4 separate regions of the Mus musculus genome follow, and all the other regions are reported to be linked to region 2. The links are microRNA targets in miRTarBase. Many come from high-throughput screens and were not tested one by one. Region 2 holds a microRNA gene; each other region holds the end of a gene's coding sequence.
The links. The annotated mature microRNA mmu-miR-26a-5p reads UUCAAGUAAUCCAGGAUAGGCU and lies in region 2 at 774-795, opposite strand. An mRNA with a match to its seed (bases 2 to 7 or 8) in the 3' UTR can be bound and repressed. Matches are read on the target gene's strand: a 7mer-m8 pairs with bases 2 to 8, a 7mer-A1 pairs with bases 2 to 7 and ends in A, and an 8mer does both.

Region 1: miRTarBase lists Plbd2 as a target of mmu-miR-26a-5p. Seed matches in the 3' UTR shown: 7mer-A1 at 1,608-1,614.
Region 3: miRTarBase lists Gnb4 as a target of mmu-miR-26a-5p. Seed matches in the 3' UTR shown: 7mer-A1 at 730-736.
Region 4: miRTarBase lists Smad4 as a target of mmu-miR-26a-5p. Seed matches in the 3' UTR shown: 7mer-m8 at 1,388-1,394.

The regions. Positions count from the first base shown.
Region 1 is chr5:120,483,168-120,486,245 of GRCm38, forward strand. Plbd2 (phospholipase B domain containing 2) reads right to left here. Exons shown (of 12, transcript NM_023625.4): 11 at 2,873-3,035; 12 at 726-2,671. The coding sequence ends at 2,504. Sds (serine dehydratase) reads left to right here. Exons shown (of 8, transcript NM_145565.1): 7 at 1-21; 8 at 406-738. The coding sequence ends at 611. Among named protein-coding and RNA genes, the nearest start is that of Sds, 8.2 kb to the left of the region's middle.
Region 2 is chr10:126,993,260-126,996,337 of GRCm38, reverse strand. Mir26a-2 (microRNA 26a-2) reads right to left here and starts at 808; the gene lies at 725-808. Ctdsp2 (CTD (carboxy-terminal domain, RNA polymerase II, polypeptide A) small phosphatase 2) reads right to left here. Exons shown (of 8, transcript NM_001113470.1): 5 at 2,430-2,486; 6 at 391-483; 7 at 127-312.
Region 3 is chr3:32,582,510-32,585,587 of GRCm38, reverse strand. It overlaps Gnb4 (guanine nucleotide binding protein (G protein), beta 4), which reads left to right. Exons shown (of 10, transcript NM_013531.5): 10 at 362-3,078. The coding sequence ends at 468. Among named protein-coding and RNA genes, the nearest start is that of Gnb4, 33 kb to the left of the region's middle.
Region 4 is chr18:73,637,597-73,640,667 of GRCm38, reverse strand. It overlaps Smad4 (SMAD family member 4), which reads left to right. Exons shown (of 12, transcript NM_008540.3): 12 at 199-3,071. The coding sequence ends at 410. Among named protein-coding and RNA genes, the nearest start is that of Smad4, 65 kb to the left of the region's middle.

The DNA.
Region 1 (3,078 bases), not on the chromosome of region 2:
CTGCTCTTGAGAAGTTCGTGGGTACGTTCTGTGGAATCTTTTTGCCCCTTGACTTTCTCCCTCCTCAGCCTAGACTCTCATGCCAGTCCCTGGTAAATGCAAAAGCCACTCACAAAAATGTGAGTCTGGTAATCATGATAGCAGTAGCTGGGATCAAAGGGGAGAGGACCAAGATGAGCTGGACTTGGAGATGATCTTTAGCAGAACTCTCTGGGGCCAGCCTTGAAGATAGCCAAAGAGAACAAGAGTAAGAACACGCACTGCTGTTAATCATCTCAGCTTGCTGCCACACAGGAGTGACCTTCTCAGGTGCCTGAGTGCCCTTAGCACAGGCTGTAGGAACAAGCAGTTCCAGCCATAGGGAGATGTTGAGAGCTTACCAGCCGCCTCCCCCTCCCCCCGTAGACGATGAGAAGATTCTGGTGGAGCCCGCGTGCGGCGCGGCGCTGGCTGCTGTGTACAGCCGCGTGGTGTGCAGGCTGCAGGATGAAGGCCGGCTGCAAACCCCACTGGCCTCGCTGGTTGTCATCGTGTGTGGCGGCAGCAACATAAGCCTGGCGCAGCTGCAGGCACTCAAGGTGCAGCTGGGCCTGAACGGGCTGCCCGAGTGATATCTGCTGCTGCCCTGGCCTCCCTCAGAGGGGTCACCGGCACCCCCTAGTGGGGTGGGATACACTTGACAATGGCCCCACCCTCCTTTACCTGTGTTTATAATGTGCACTTTTCCATTGTAAATAAAAAATAAATATATATTTATAGAGCAAAGATCTTTTGAGCTTTGTTTGTTCTTGACATGAGGGTCTATGTGCAGCCCAGGCTGGTCTCAAACTGGAGATCCTCCTGCCTCATCTTCTGAGTGCCGGGCAGACAGGCGTTAGCTTCCTTGCCTTGTTCAGTCTCCCTCTACACCCAGCCACATCGTCCCTGGCTCTCAGAGAAGTGGTGCTCCCCTCTGGGGTCTTGGGTCTCCCAGTGGATTGACTGGTGGAACCCACACATCCGTAAGTCAGGAGAGAGGACCAGAGCTAAGCCACACAGGGATCTAGGGTGGGGTCGCAAAGCAGCTGGGAGATGCACAGGCAAGGCCACCACATGCTAATATGAAGTCCTTAGGGACAGGACAAGGCCATCCTGAGACACCAGCGGCCCCACCCTGGTGTCTGGAAAACCAACCCCGTGCAGGCATCTGCAGAGCAGGGAAGGTGGAGTGAACCTGACAGGAAACCAACCCCTGACTACCAACGAAACTCAGAACACATGGCAGGCCCGGACTGGCTCGGGTAAAGCTACCCACACATCTTAGGGCCTCTGGTTCACAGGCTGTGAGCTCTCTGGGCCCCACACAGGGGACTTGGTTTCATGTGGGTCTCTGGGTCTAGGATTTAGGGTCTTAGTGGTCAGCAGGTTGGGCCAGGCTAGGACCCAGAATACAGCACTTGAGACAGATGCTGAGCAGAAGGACTAACAGGGATAAATGGACAGAGAGATGAGTGGGCTGATGAAAAGCAGAATCAAGGCACGGCGGCCTGTACATGGAAACCCAGCATGTGAGGGTGAAGGCGGCCAGCAGATACAATAACCAGAGGATGACTGTGGACTACAAGGCATTCAAGTTCAAGGCCACACTGAGTTACAGAGCAAAACCAAAATGAAAAGGGATGTGCAGTTCTGGGTGGACAGACTGACGGACGGGCAGGTGGATGGGTGGGTGAGAGGTGAGGACGTTCAGATGAAAAGGCAGGCAAGTGGACGGGTAGGTGTGTGGACCGCTGACTGAGTGAAAAGACGGTAGGGTGGACAGGAGAGGGGATGGACGGGCAGGGGGCTGGTGATGCAGGTGAACAGTAGGTACGTGGACTAGAGAAAGGACAGATGGAAGGAGACAGCCATGGACAGACAGGGTGTGGTGCCGCCCCACAAGGCTTGTTTAACAGAAGCACAGCCTGGGCTTCGCTGACCGGAGCACACAGCCAGAGACACCTACCAGGAGGCCAGGGGCAGGCTTGGCTGGGAGTAGGGGTAGAAGTGTGGGGTGACGGTCCATTCCTCCTGCTGAAAGAAGACTCAAGGCCCTCCAGCTACAAGCAGCCAGAAACTTTGGTTTTGTTCTCAAGCTCCTGCACTTAGAAGAGCTGCCCAGAAGGGCACAGGGCTGCCTCCTGAGGCGATGGGCCCACAGGCCAGCAGTGACAACCATAATGTCCCCTGTCAGTTCACACATATGCTGAGGGACCAGCACTAGGAGAATGTGTGCCCCGGATCCCACCAGGCCCACAGCCAAGCATAAGCCCCAGCCTGCTGGTGACAGGGACAGGGAGGATGAGCCATGAAGGGGCAGAGGGCTCAGAGACAGAGGCAACTCTGAGCCCACTGGGTTGTGTCCTTGCGAAGGAAGCCGCTAGGACCAGAGTCTAGTGAAGACAGAAGCCCGAGGGGTGGACGGCAGGTGTATGACCCACTGGCCACACAAAATGAAGGCAGCTAGGCGGAGGCGGACTCTCTCTCAGTCCCATGGCACCCTGATGGGTGAGAACATCCAGAGGTCGGGCTGGCCCATGTGCAGCATGCTGTGGAATGGCGATTTGCTCCACTGGAACGGAGGACACTGGTCCCACGTGGGGCCACTGGCCGCCAGCATGCTCATGTACTTGGCCAGGGTAAAGCTGGTCACCTGGGGGGGTCAGAGAGCACACACTCAGCTGGTAGGGCCCAACTCTCACCACGACTTTTCTTCAAAACACCATTCTGAAGCTGACCCCAAAGTGATATCCCCTTAAACTGACCCAGCTTCAGCCCAGGTCTGACCTCTGACCCTGCACCTGTCCCATCCATCCTTCCCCGGGGCATGTGACAACTGGCTTAGGTGGCCGACCTTCACATCAATGCCACCATGGGCGCGCTGATGCAGGGCCTGAAATGGGTAGGAGCCATTGGCGGGGTTGAGGTCAGAGCGGGCAGAGATGGCATTCTCCGCATTAGGCTTTGGGTTGCAGGCTTCACACAATGACAGAGGGTCATGGAGGAAATCATTGTACCTGGATGGGAAGGAAGGGATGGCAGTCACCCCAGGGAGAGGCC
Region 2 (3,078 bases):
ATCTGATATTTCCTTTCCTTTCCAGTGCCATTGGAGGCTGCTGGGCCACACAGGGGTTGTGGACTCCTCTGATAAAGCCCACGGGCCCAGCCTGCAGCCACCCCAGTCCCTGATGCGAGCACTCACTGCATTTTCTGGGTGGAAGATGTAAGATGCAGGGGAGTTGTCCAGGATGACAGTTTTCCTCAGGTCCCTTCCCAGGCGGCTGAGGTCCTTGACATAGCAGCCCTGGTGGAACACACAAGCCTCTCGGAACAGGCGGGCCCGGAACACCCCGCACCGGTCCAGGAGATCAGTCACAGGGTCAGCATACTGGAAAAGAAGGAGAAGCTTTAGCCTAGGCTGAGGGCTGGCTCTCCCCTGCCTTCTGCCCCTCCTGCAGTCAGGTACCTTGGCCAAGCTGGCAGTGAAGAGAACACATTCGAAGAGCTCCCCCATCCGTCTCAGGAACTCATCGACGTAAGGCCTCTTGAGCACATATACCTGGGAGACAGAGTGGATTGCTGTAGGAACCCCACAAGGCCAAGGACACAGCACCGGCTCTGCCTGTGCACTGACAGAAAAGCAAGCAGGCCTAGATACCCAGGTCGAGACACTGAGACCTCTGCCCCACCATGGACAGCTCTACCATGTTACCAGGCTTCTGCTGCCTCAACAGGCCCAACCCTAACCCGGCAGGAAGGAATGCACTCCCAGGAGCCATCTTCATTGAGGGCAGACCATGCGCTGCCTCCAGAAACAAGTAATCAAGAACAGGCCTCATGGACGGACACAGCCTATCCTGGATTACTTGAATCCAGCCGCAGCCTCCACAGTAGCCTTCTGTACGGGATTCCAGCAGGACGGCTTGTGTAGGTCCCATCTGGCAAGAACCACAAACTTCTTCAAACACACACCCTCGTAGGTTTGTGTGCACACCACCAGCTTCGAGGACTTGCTCGCTTTTAAAGGTTCTTCAACTAACTCGCCACCCAGTCTATGATCTGCTGCTTCTTCTTTCTTTCTTACTTCAGCCTGCACAAGTGTTCCTTAGGCCCACTCACTCACTTCCTTAAAGCAGCACAGGGGGTGTGCCCACCCCAGTCCCTCCTAGCCCACATCAGCACCAACTGAGCAGAGCCCTCCCATTTAGCAGCAGAACCCTCCATGCAGCTGCAAATGGATCTATCCATCACCTTCCACTTCTTAAGCCTCACAAACAAGCCCCTTCCTCACCAAGCATTGCTCTCCTCCCAGGCTCTCCTCAGATCCACATGGCAGGCAGCCCTCTCACTCAGGCCCCTTCTGCCCATGCCAGAGCCCCATACATTCTGTACATTTCTATTTCCTCAACTAGACAGCAGGGGGTGATGGGTGGAGTAAAGAGCCACAGCTTCGAGGCTCTGTACAGAAGTTCGTAAAGGGGCAGAGGGCTACGATGACAAACCCAGGACAGTCTCAAGCTGAACTTTCTCAGTCTGAAAACAGGTCTCATGCTTGCTAGGATGTCTGCATCACTGTCTCCGGCCCTCCCCTGGGCCGACCAGCATGCCTCTGGGCACATGGTCTCTCACCAATGCCTCGTGGTCCTTAACCCTAGGCAGCAGGGTGTACACGGCAGAGCCTGGACTCTGCCACTCTGACAGATGCATATGGAGCACTTACAGAAACCAGTGTAGAGGTCAGAAAGGTGTCATAGGAGGGGCCTGGGCCAGGGAAGACACATTCAGTAGCTCTTCACCAGAGGGCACAGGAGCAAATCCTAACAGCCCTGCACACAGAGCAAGGCTCGCCTGGTCTAAGCATGGACTGCATGGGCTGGACAGCATATGCTCTTCATTGAGGAGCTGGGTTCAATTCCCAGCAACCCCTGGCAGCTCACAACTGTAACTCTGGTTCCAGGGGATTCGACACCCTCACACAGACACACACGCAGGCAAAACCAGTAATGCACATTTAAAAAGCCACAGTGATGGCTAGGACTATGATGTGAAAATGCCAGGGGCTGCACACAATGGTGAAGGCCTTTAATTAACTCCAGCCCTCTGTGAGGTCCAAGTCAGCTAGAATTAAATAAAGAGACCCTATCCTGGGCTGGAGAGATGGCTCAGTGGTTAAGAGCATTGACTGCTCTTCTGAGGTCCTGAGTTCAAATCCCAGCAACCACATGGTGGCTCACAACCATCTCTAATGGAATCCAATGCCCTCTTCTGGTGTGTCTGAATACAGTTAAGTGTACTCATATACATAAAACAAATAATTCTTTAAAAATATTTTTAAAAAAGCCAACAGTTCTTGCAAACAGCCTGACTACATAGAGACAGGAGTGTTGGCTAGAGGGAAGTGTGGATGATCTGGAGACAAGCCATCAACAAACATGGAAGCTGATGATAAACAGGTTGAGAGGCAGTTTCCCTTTGAGGCAGGGTGTATGCTGGCAAACAGCTCACCTGGTGCGTGGTCCCCTCAATCTCTACAGGCACTATGAAGTCAGCATTGTTGATCGGCTAGAAGGCAGAAGTGCACAGTGTCAGCAGACAGGAAACCCTACCCCCTGGAGACAGCCCACTGAGCAGTTCTTAGCCAGCACAGGGCAAAAAGTATCACATATTTTCCGGTTTCCCTTCTCCTTCATCCACCCATCCATCCTACCCACCAAATTCTACCTGAGGTAAGTTTCAGGGCTTTTGAGATGGGGTCTTGCTACATAGTCTGGGCTAGCCTTCACCTCCTGCTCTCATGAGCTATGCACACAGGCATGCATGCCTGGCTCTTTGGGCTAGCCGTGTTCATCTCCTGTTTCCGTGAGCTATGCACACAAGCATGCATGCCTGGCTCTTTCAAGACTGACTGGCTCTTACTGGGTAACTCATGTTATTCTGGAACTTGTGATTTCCCTGCCTCAGTTTCCCAAGCACAGGGATTGTGGAAGTTCCCTCTGCACCCAACTTAAGGCTTTCTTGAGTTAACAAACGCACCAGTCAGGAAAACCAGATAATGCTTACCTACTTTTTCCACGGTAAGTCGAGACAGACACAGCATTTAGGGTGGGGTGTGTGTGTGTGTGTGTGTGTGTGTGTGTGTGTGTGTGTGTGCCTT
Region 3 (3,078 bases), not on the chromosome of region 2:
GAGAAGTTACTAAACACCAGGTGCCACCCCTGCTCTTGTAGGCAGAAATAGGAAGATGGGGATTTGAAGATGATTTCTGGCCGGGTAGCGAGGTCAAGATCAGCCTGGACTATGTGAGACCCTGTCTTCGATTTTTTTTTTAACACTGACTTTTAAAATTTTGAAAACACAAACAGATGTTCACAAATGATGTAAAAAATTCCAATAGCTTGTGGTGTGTTGTGTCCATATGCTGGACTTGGCTCTAGCACTAGTCTTCCCAGAATGACTGCTTTTTTGATCACCATCTGCATCATAATGCAGAACTATTTTTGCAGTTCTAAAACTTCAGTTTTAACTCTCTATTGATCTTTCTTTGTAGGTGTCCTTGCTGGTCATGACAACCGTGTTAGCTGCTTAGGTGTGACTGATGACGGCATGGCTGTGGCCACTGGCTCCTGGGACAGTTTTCTTAGAATCTGGAATTGAGTGCCATATTTTCTGTTCTCCAATGATACCTGGAGAAATCCGTGTTACAGCCTATAGCTGTGAGGAAAAAAAAAAACCAACCCTCTACCTTCTATTTGCAGATGAAGTTTTTCTATGGAGGTGACTATATATAAAAAGCAGCGTTCAATAAGCTGTAGTTTATTGAAACTGTTGTGACATAAATGGTGGTCAGAGAAACAATCAAGATTAAGCTCCCTTTCTGTGGTCAAAGGCCAGGGTATTCATTGAGTGGTCGTCTTGACTTGAACAGATTCTTGCTTGTGCTCATTGTTTTTCTGTAGATTAGAGTGCACACTTTATAGCAGACAACCATTTGTGTTTGCCATTTTAAGGACTACCATTGAACTTTGTATATATAAGAAATGCCACATTTTTAAAGTGTTGTCATGGAAAACAAGGAAGGGCCTGTGATAGACAGAAGTGATGCTGTAGATTATGTGCTGTCTGAAGGAGGTCCCCTTGGACTGTGACATTGCATTTTAATCTGAAAGTCCCTGACTGCTTCGTGGTTAGGTGACTAAGAGGTGAGGTGGTCCTGAGGGACCCAGTGGCTGTTCATGCATTCTTTGCCATGCTACGGATTTAAGTGCTCATTTTCAGTCCTTTGAGGGGACAGGTGATATGAAGGCCAGGGGTAAAGATTTCACTTTGACATAGGGTACACCCTGAAGAAATGTCATTACAGTCTATTACATTAGAAACCAGTAGACACTGGCACGTGATTTTTTTTGGTATTTTAAGAAGCTCAGCCATTTGAACCATTGGACCTTGCTGTTAATTTTGCCTTCTGAAATGAAGTTTGTAGAAAGTACTAGTATTTGAGAAGTCTGACAAAAACCTGACTTGTCTCTGCATCTGGAGACACTTGCCTGGTGTTCTCTGTAATGGGAGGAAACAGTGTCTCACCTTCTAACATTTGAGAAATGTAAACTCATCCATTCAACTGGCACAAATATATGTATGATTTATATGTCACACATACATATGTGTGTGTGTGTGTATATATATACACACATATACACATATATATGATGGCTTTGTGAATTGTGTAATGTAAAATCTATGTAATGTAAAAACAGGTATAAACTATTTGTACCCTTGAACTTTTACTTTTCCATTTTTGCGGTGCTGCCGAAATCTAGGCCTTGTGCCCACTAGCCAAGTGCTGTACTTAGTACAGCCCTAGCTCCTCAGATCCAAGCTTTCTGCTGCCCTGTAGTATTGTTCTCCGTAGTATGATGTAGTCAAGGAGCTTACTACAAAGCTAGTCTAGAGTTGACCACTCCTAGAGCCTAAAACATTGTTTCAAAGGGGCTCAGCTGGCAGCAAAGATGTGCCAACTGTTCAGTAGTGTCTGTCACTGGGATGTCCCGCCTCCTAACGGAACAGACAGCTCTCCTCTTCAGTTCTCTCCTGTAGATTCAAATGATTGACAGTAACAGACTGTTATGTCTTGCTGGTGCCGTCTCCTTGGGTTACTTGGATGTATACAAACACATTGTAAAGCTGCTGTCTAGCAGTTTCTGTGTTAAAGTTGATCACCTGTAACTGTAACCTTAATACTTCCAAACTGAACCTGTGAGTTTTCATCCTTGTACTGTGAATGTGCCCATGTACATAACAGCTGTGATCAGACCAGCATCCCTTTTGTTTATGAAAATCAATTGATCTTAATACAGTGGGAAGACCCTTCGCCCACACAGCTCTAGGGTCCGACCTGACCAGGGCAGAAAGGGAATGAAAAACAGACACACACAGGAAAGCTGGGGTTGGGTAGACTGGACATTGATGGAGAAACCAGCACCCAGAAACTCAGAGTTTATTCCATGGAGAAGCACAAAGAGGCAGTGCTGTTGTATACAGATAAAAAAGGAGGAAACATCCGAGGTATACTGCTGGATCAAGGAGACAGGTTTAGCCAATCTCTTCAAGAGCAGTCCCCATATGTAGGGAAGCAATCCTCAGGCTGTAAATATCAGGATGGGGCTCAGGGAGCTAAGGTACACATGTTCTACACATACCATCAACACTCATGCTCAACCCAGGGGGACTCTGCCATTCTCGTGGGTCTAAGGTAAGGGTCCGTGATAGGGCAGTCACTCTGGATGTCCTCTGCTCCCTACAGGATAGAGGTGAACTGAGATACAGTATCGAAGAGAAACAGACCATCGTGGCAGGTGTGAATGTGTACCTTAATCCTTAATTTGCGGGACCCCTTTGCCCTTGTCTATTGTGCACTAGGGAGTGCTCTCAAATAGGGCACGAAAAGAAAACCTGACGGTGCTGAATGAAGTCTAGCCTTCCTTGTACCTCTGCCCAGAAAGTTCTATCGCTGGGTTGTATCTGCTGCCTGCCCACCCCAGCCAAGAGCTGAGGCGCATGAGAGGATCCTGAGCATCCCCAGAAGGGTGTGTCTGCTGTGTGGCTCAGAATTCATACTAAAACCTCGCTCAAAACTAAGGAAAAAAAAACCATAACAAAAAACCTCGCTCAAAACAGCATTTCTATTAGGTATAAAGGGGGCTTAATGTGGGGTAGAGTGCTTGCAACGCAAGGCCCTGGGTTCAGTCCCTAGCTCTGTGTGTGTGT
Region 4 (3,071 bases), not on the chromosome of region 2:
TAGTTAAAGTCCATATATAAACTGTCATAACCAAATTTTCACTTACCCGTGATAAGGTTTAGATCTGCGGTTACTGTTGACATTTTTGACAGAGAAGTTGTATGCTGAGAGGAAATAAGCAAAGAAGGCAGACTGGGGAGGATGGGAAGAGAGGACCTGCGCCCTCACAGCCTCCACACTTGTGCTTCTTTCCGTTAGGTCTGTCTGCTGCTGCTGGCATCGGTGTGGATGACCTCCGGCGATTGTGCATTCTCAGGATGAGCTTTGTGAAGGGCTGGGGCCCAGACTACCCCAGGCAGAGCATCAAGGAAACCCCGTGCTGGATTGAGATTCACCTTCACCGAGCTCTGCAGCTCTTGGATGAAGTCCTGCACACCATGCCCATTGCGGACCCACAGCCTTTAGACTGAGATCTCACACCACGGACGCCCTAACCATTTCCAGGATGGTGGACTATGAAATATACTCGTGTTTATAATCTGAAGATCTATTGCATTTTGTTCTGCTCTGTCTTTTCCTAAAGGGTTGAGAGATGTGTTTGCTGCCTTGCTCTTAGCAGACAGAAACTGAATTAAAACTTCTTTTCTATTTTAGAACTTTCAGGTGTGGCTCAGTGCTTGAAGATCAGAAAGATGCAGTTCTTGCTGAGTCTTCCCTGCTGGTTCTGTATGGAGGAGTCGGCCAGTGCTGGGCGCTCAGCCCTTTAGTGTGTGCGAGCGCCTTGCATGCCGAGGAGAGTCAGAGCTGCTGATTGTAAGGCTGAGAAGTTCTCACAGTTAAGCCACCTGCCCCTTAGTGGGCGAGTTATTAAACGCACTGTGCTCACGTGGCGCTGGGCCAGCCAGCTCTACCAAGAGCAACTTTACTCTCCTTTAAAAACCTTTTAGCAACCTTTGATTCACAATGGTTTTTGCAAGTTAAACAGTGAAGGTGAATTAAATTCATACTGTCTTGCAGACTTCAGGGTTTCTTCCCCAAGACAAAACACTAATCTGTGTGCATATTGACAATTCCTTACAATTATCAGTCAAAGAAATGCCATTTAAAATTACAATTTTTTTAATCCCTAATGGATGACCACTATCAAGATGTATACTTTGCCCTGTTAAACAGTAAATGAATTCTTCTATATTTCTAGGCACAAGGTTAGTTATTTAAAAAAAAAAAAAAAAGCCTAGGGGAGGGATTTTTCCCTTAATTCCTAGGGAGAAGGTTTTGTATAAAACACTAAAAGCAGTGTCACTCTGCCTGCTGCTTCACTGTTCTGCAAGGTGGCAGTACTTCAACTGAAATAATGAATATTTTGGAAACTGCTAAATTCTATGTTAAATACTGTGCAGAATAATGGAAACAGTGCAGTTGGTAACAGGTGGTTTGGATATTTTTGTACTTGATTTGATGTGTGACTTCTTTTCATATACTGTTAAAATCATGTATGTTTTGACATTGTTTAAAATTCAGTTTTTGTATCTTAGGGCAAGACTGCAGACTTTTTTATACCTTTTGGTTATAAGCCCTGTGTTTGCCATCCTTGATCACTTGGCGGTGACTTTGTAGAGATTGAAGTGGAGGAGTTAAGACACATTGACTGTACCACAGACACACATGTATACTTTCTACCTAGTTACTAGCGTAAATAAAACTGAGTCACTATACGAAGTGGAATTCTAGATTTGGTTTTTAAAATGCTTTCCTTTTGCACTTTTGAGTCCAGTCTCAGTGGCAAGACACCTTCTGCTAAATGACAGGTGGCAGCCAGTTGTACCATGCAGCGCTGGTTCCCTCCCACTCTACCAGGACTTTCCCATGGACACTGTGCATCATGTGTAGTTGGTTATTTTTTGAGTTTTTATTTTACTGTAGCAAAAAAAAAAAAAAAAACTTGGATAAATAGTGTGAATAAAATCAAGACCATGGAGATGTTTTTACCCTGAGAGTTTTCTGTGAGTTTTAAATTGCAGTAGGCATTTGAGCTCTGGAAACCCCGTGCATAGCAGTTCTCTTTGTGCCAACAGAAATGACCACGTCCTGCAGCCTGCTGCGGAAGGTTCCAGAGGCTCTGAGAAACCAGAGTGCTGCAGTGACTGGGGTCCATCTCAGCCCAGCGCACACAGCGTGCGTTGTAAAAGCTGCCTCTGTGTCTTGTCTTCTGTACTTAGGGATGCTTTGTCTCGGGCCTAATCTTATCTGTAGAAGTTTGGTGATTTTTTTTTTTTAAATGTTGTATTGACAGAATTATAAAAAGATACCTTCTCTAGAAATGCTTGTCTTCAGATCCGTTTCACGATGGCCGGGGAACAGGAGTGAGAAGAGAGAGTAAGCTGTAGTGTAACGGGTTTTTAAGACCCAGCTCATCTGACCAGGCAGTGCTGTAACTTGATGCTTCCTGTTGTACCTTATGGAACCTTTCCCATATTTAATCATCTTCAGAAAGTAGGTGGGAAATATTTGCTGGGAAGTATCTCTTCAGAGCCAAGCCACTTGTCTTGGTTTTCTTACTAAGAGCCATAGAAATGATTTCTGGTTATTGATGAAATTTGTAATTTGCCTGTCCTAGTCTTTTTTCCTTTCACTTCGCTATCTTTGAATAAGACTTTTAAAAACTTCCCTGAGTTGAAAAATTTTGGGATAAAATAGTTTCCCTAGTTCTTAGAGACTGATTATGATGTGGGTATGGTTCTGGGTGGGTTTTTTTTCTAAGTCATAGCTCAAAAGTCTCCCAAGATTAAATTTCAGTGGGCACCCAGTTTGAAACCATTCTACTTTTGTCTTGTGCCTTTCTTTGCATGATTAAAGAGAATCTGTAATGGTATTGCCTTTATTTGCTTGGAAGTAGATTCTTTTCTGGGATAGAGTCTACCTTAATCGTTGTCCTTTACCGCCCCTGCTGTACAGATAGATGCTAAGCCACTGCCGGGAACTTGCTTTTCCATAGACAGTCTTTTTATACTGCCTGAACCCATTGCTCCTGTTCACAGTATAAGTTCACAGACAGGGTGAGCCGGCCGAGGCGCACACCTGCAGAATCCAGCAACAACCATGCTTAACTGTGTGTATTTCAAAGTTAGAAA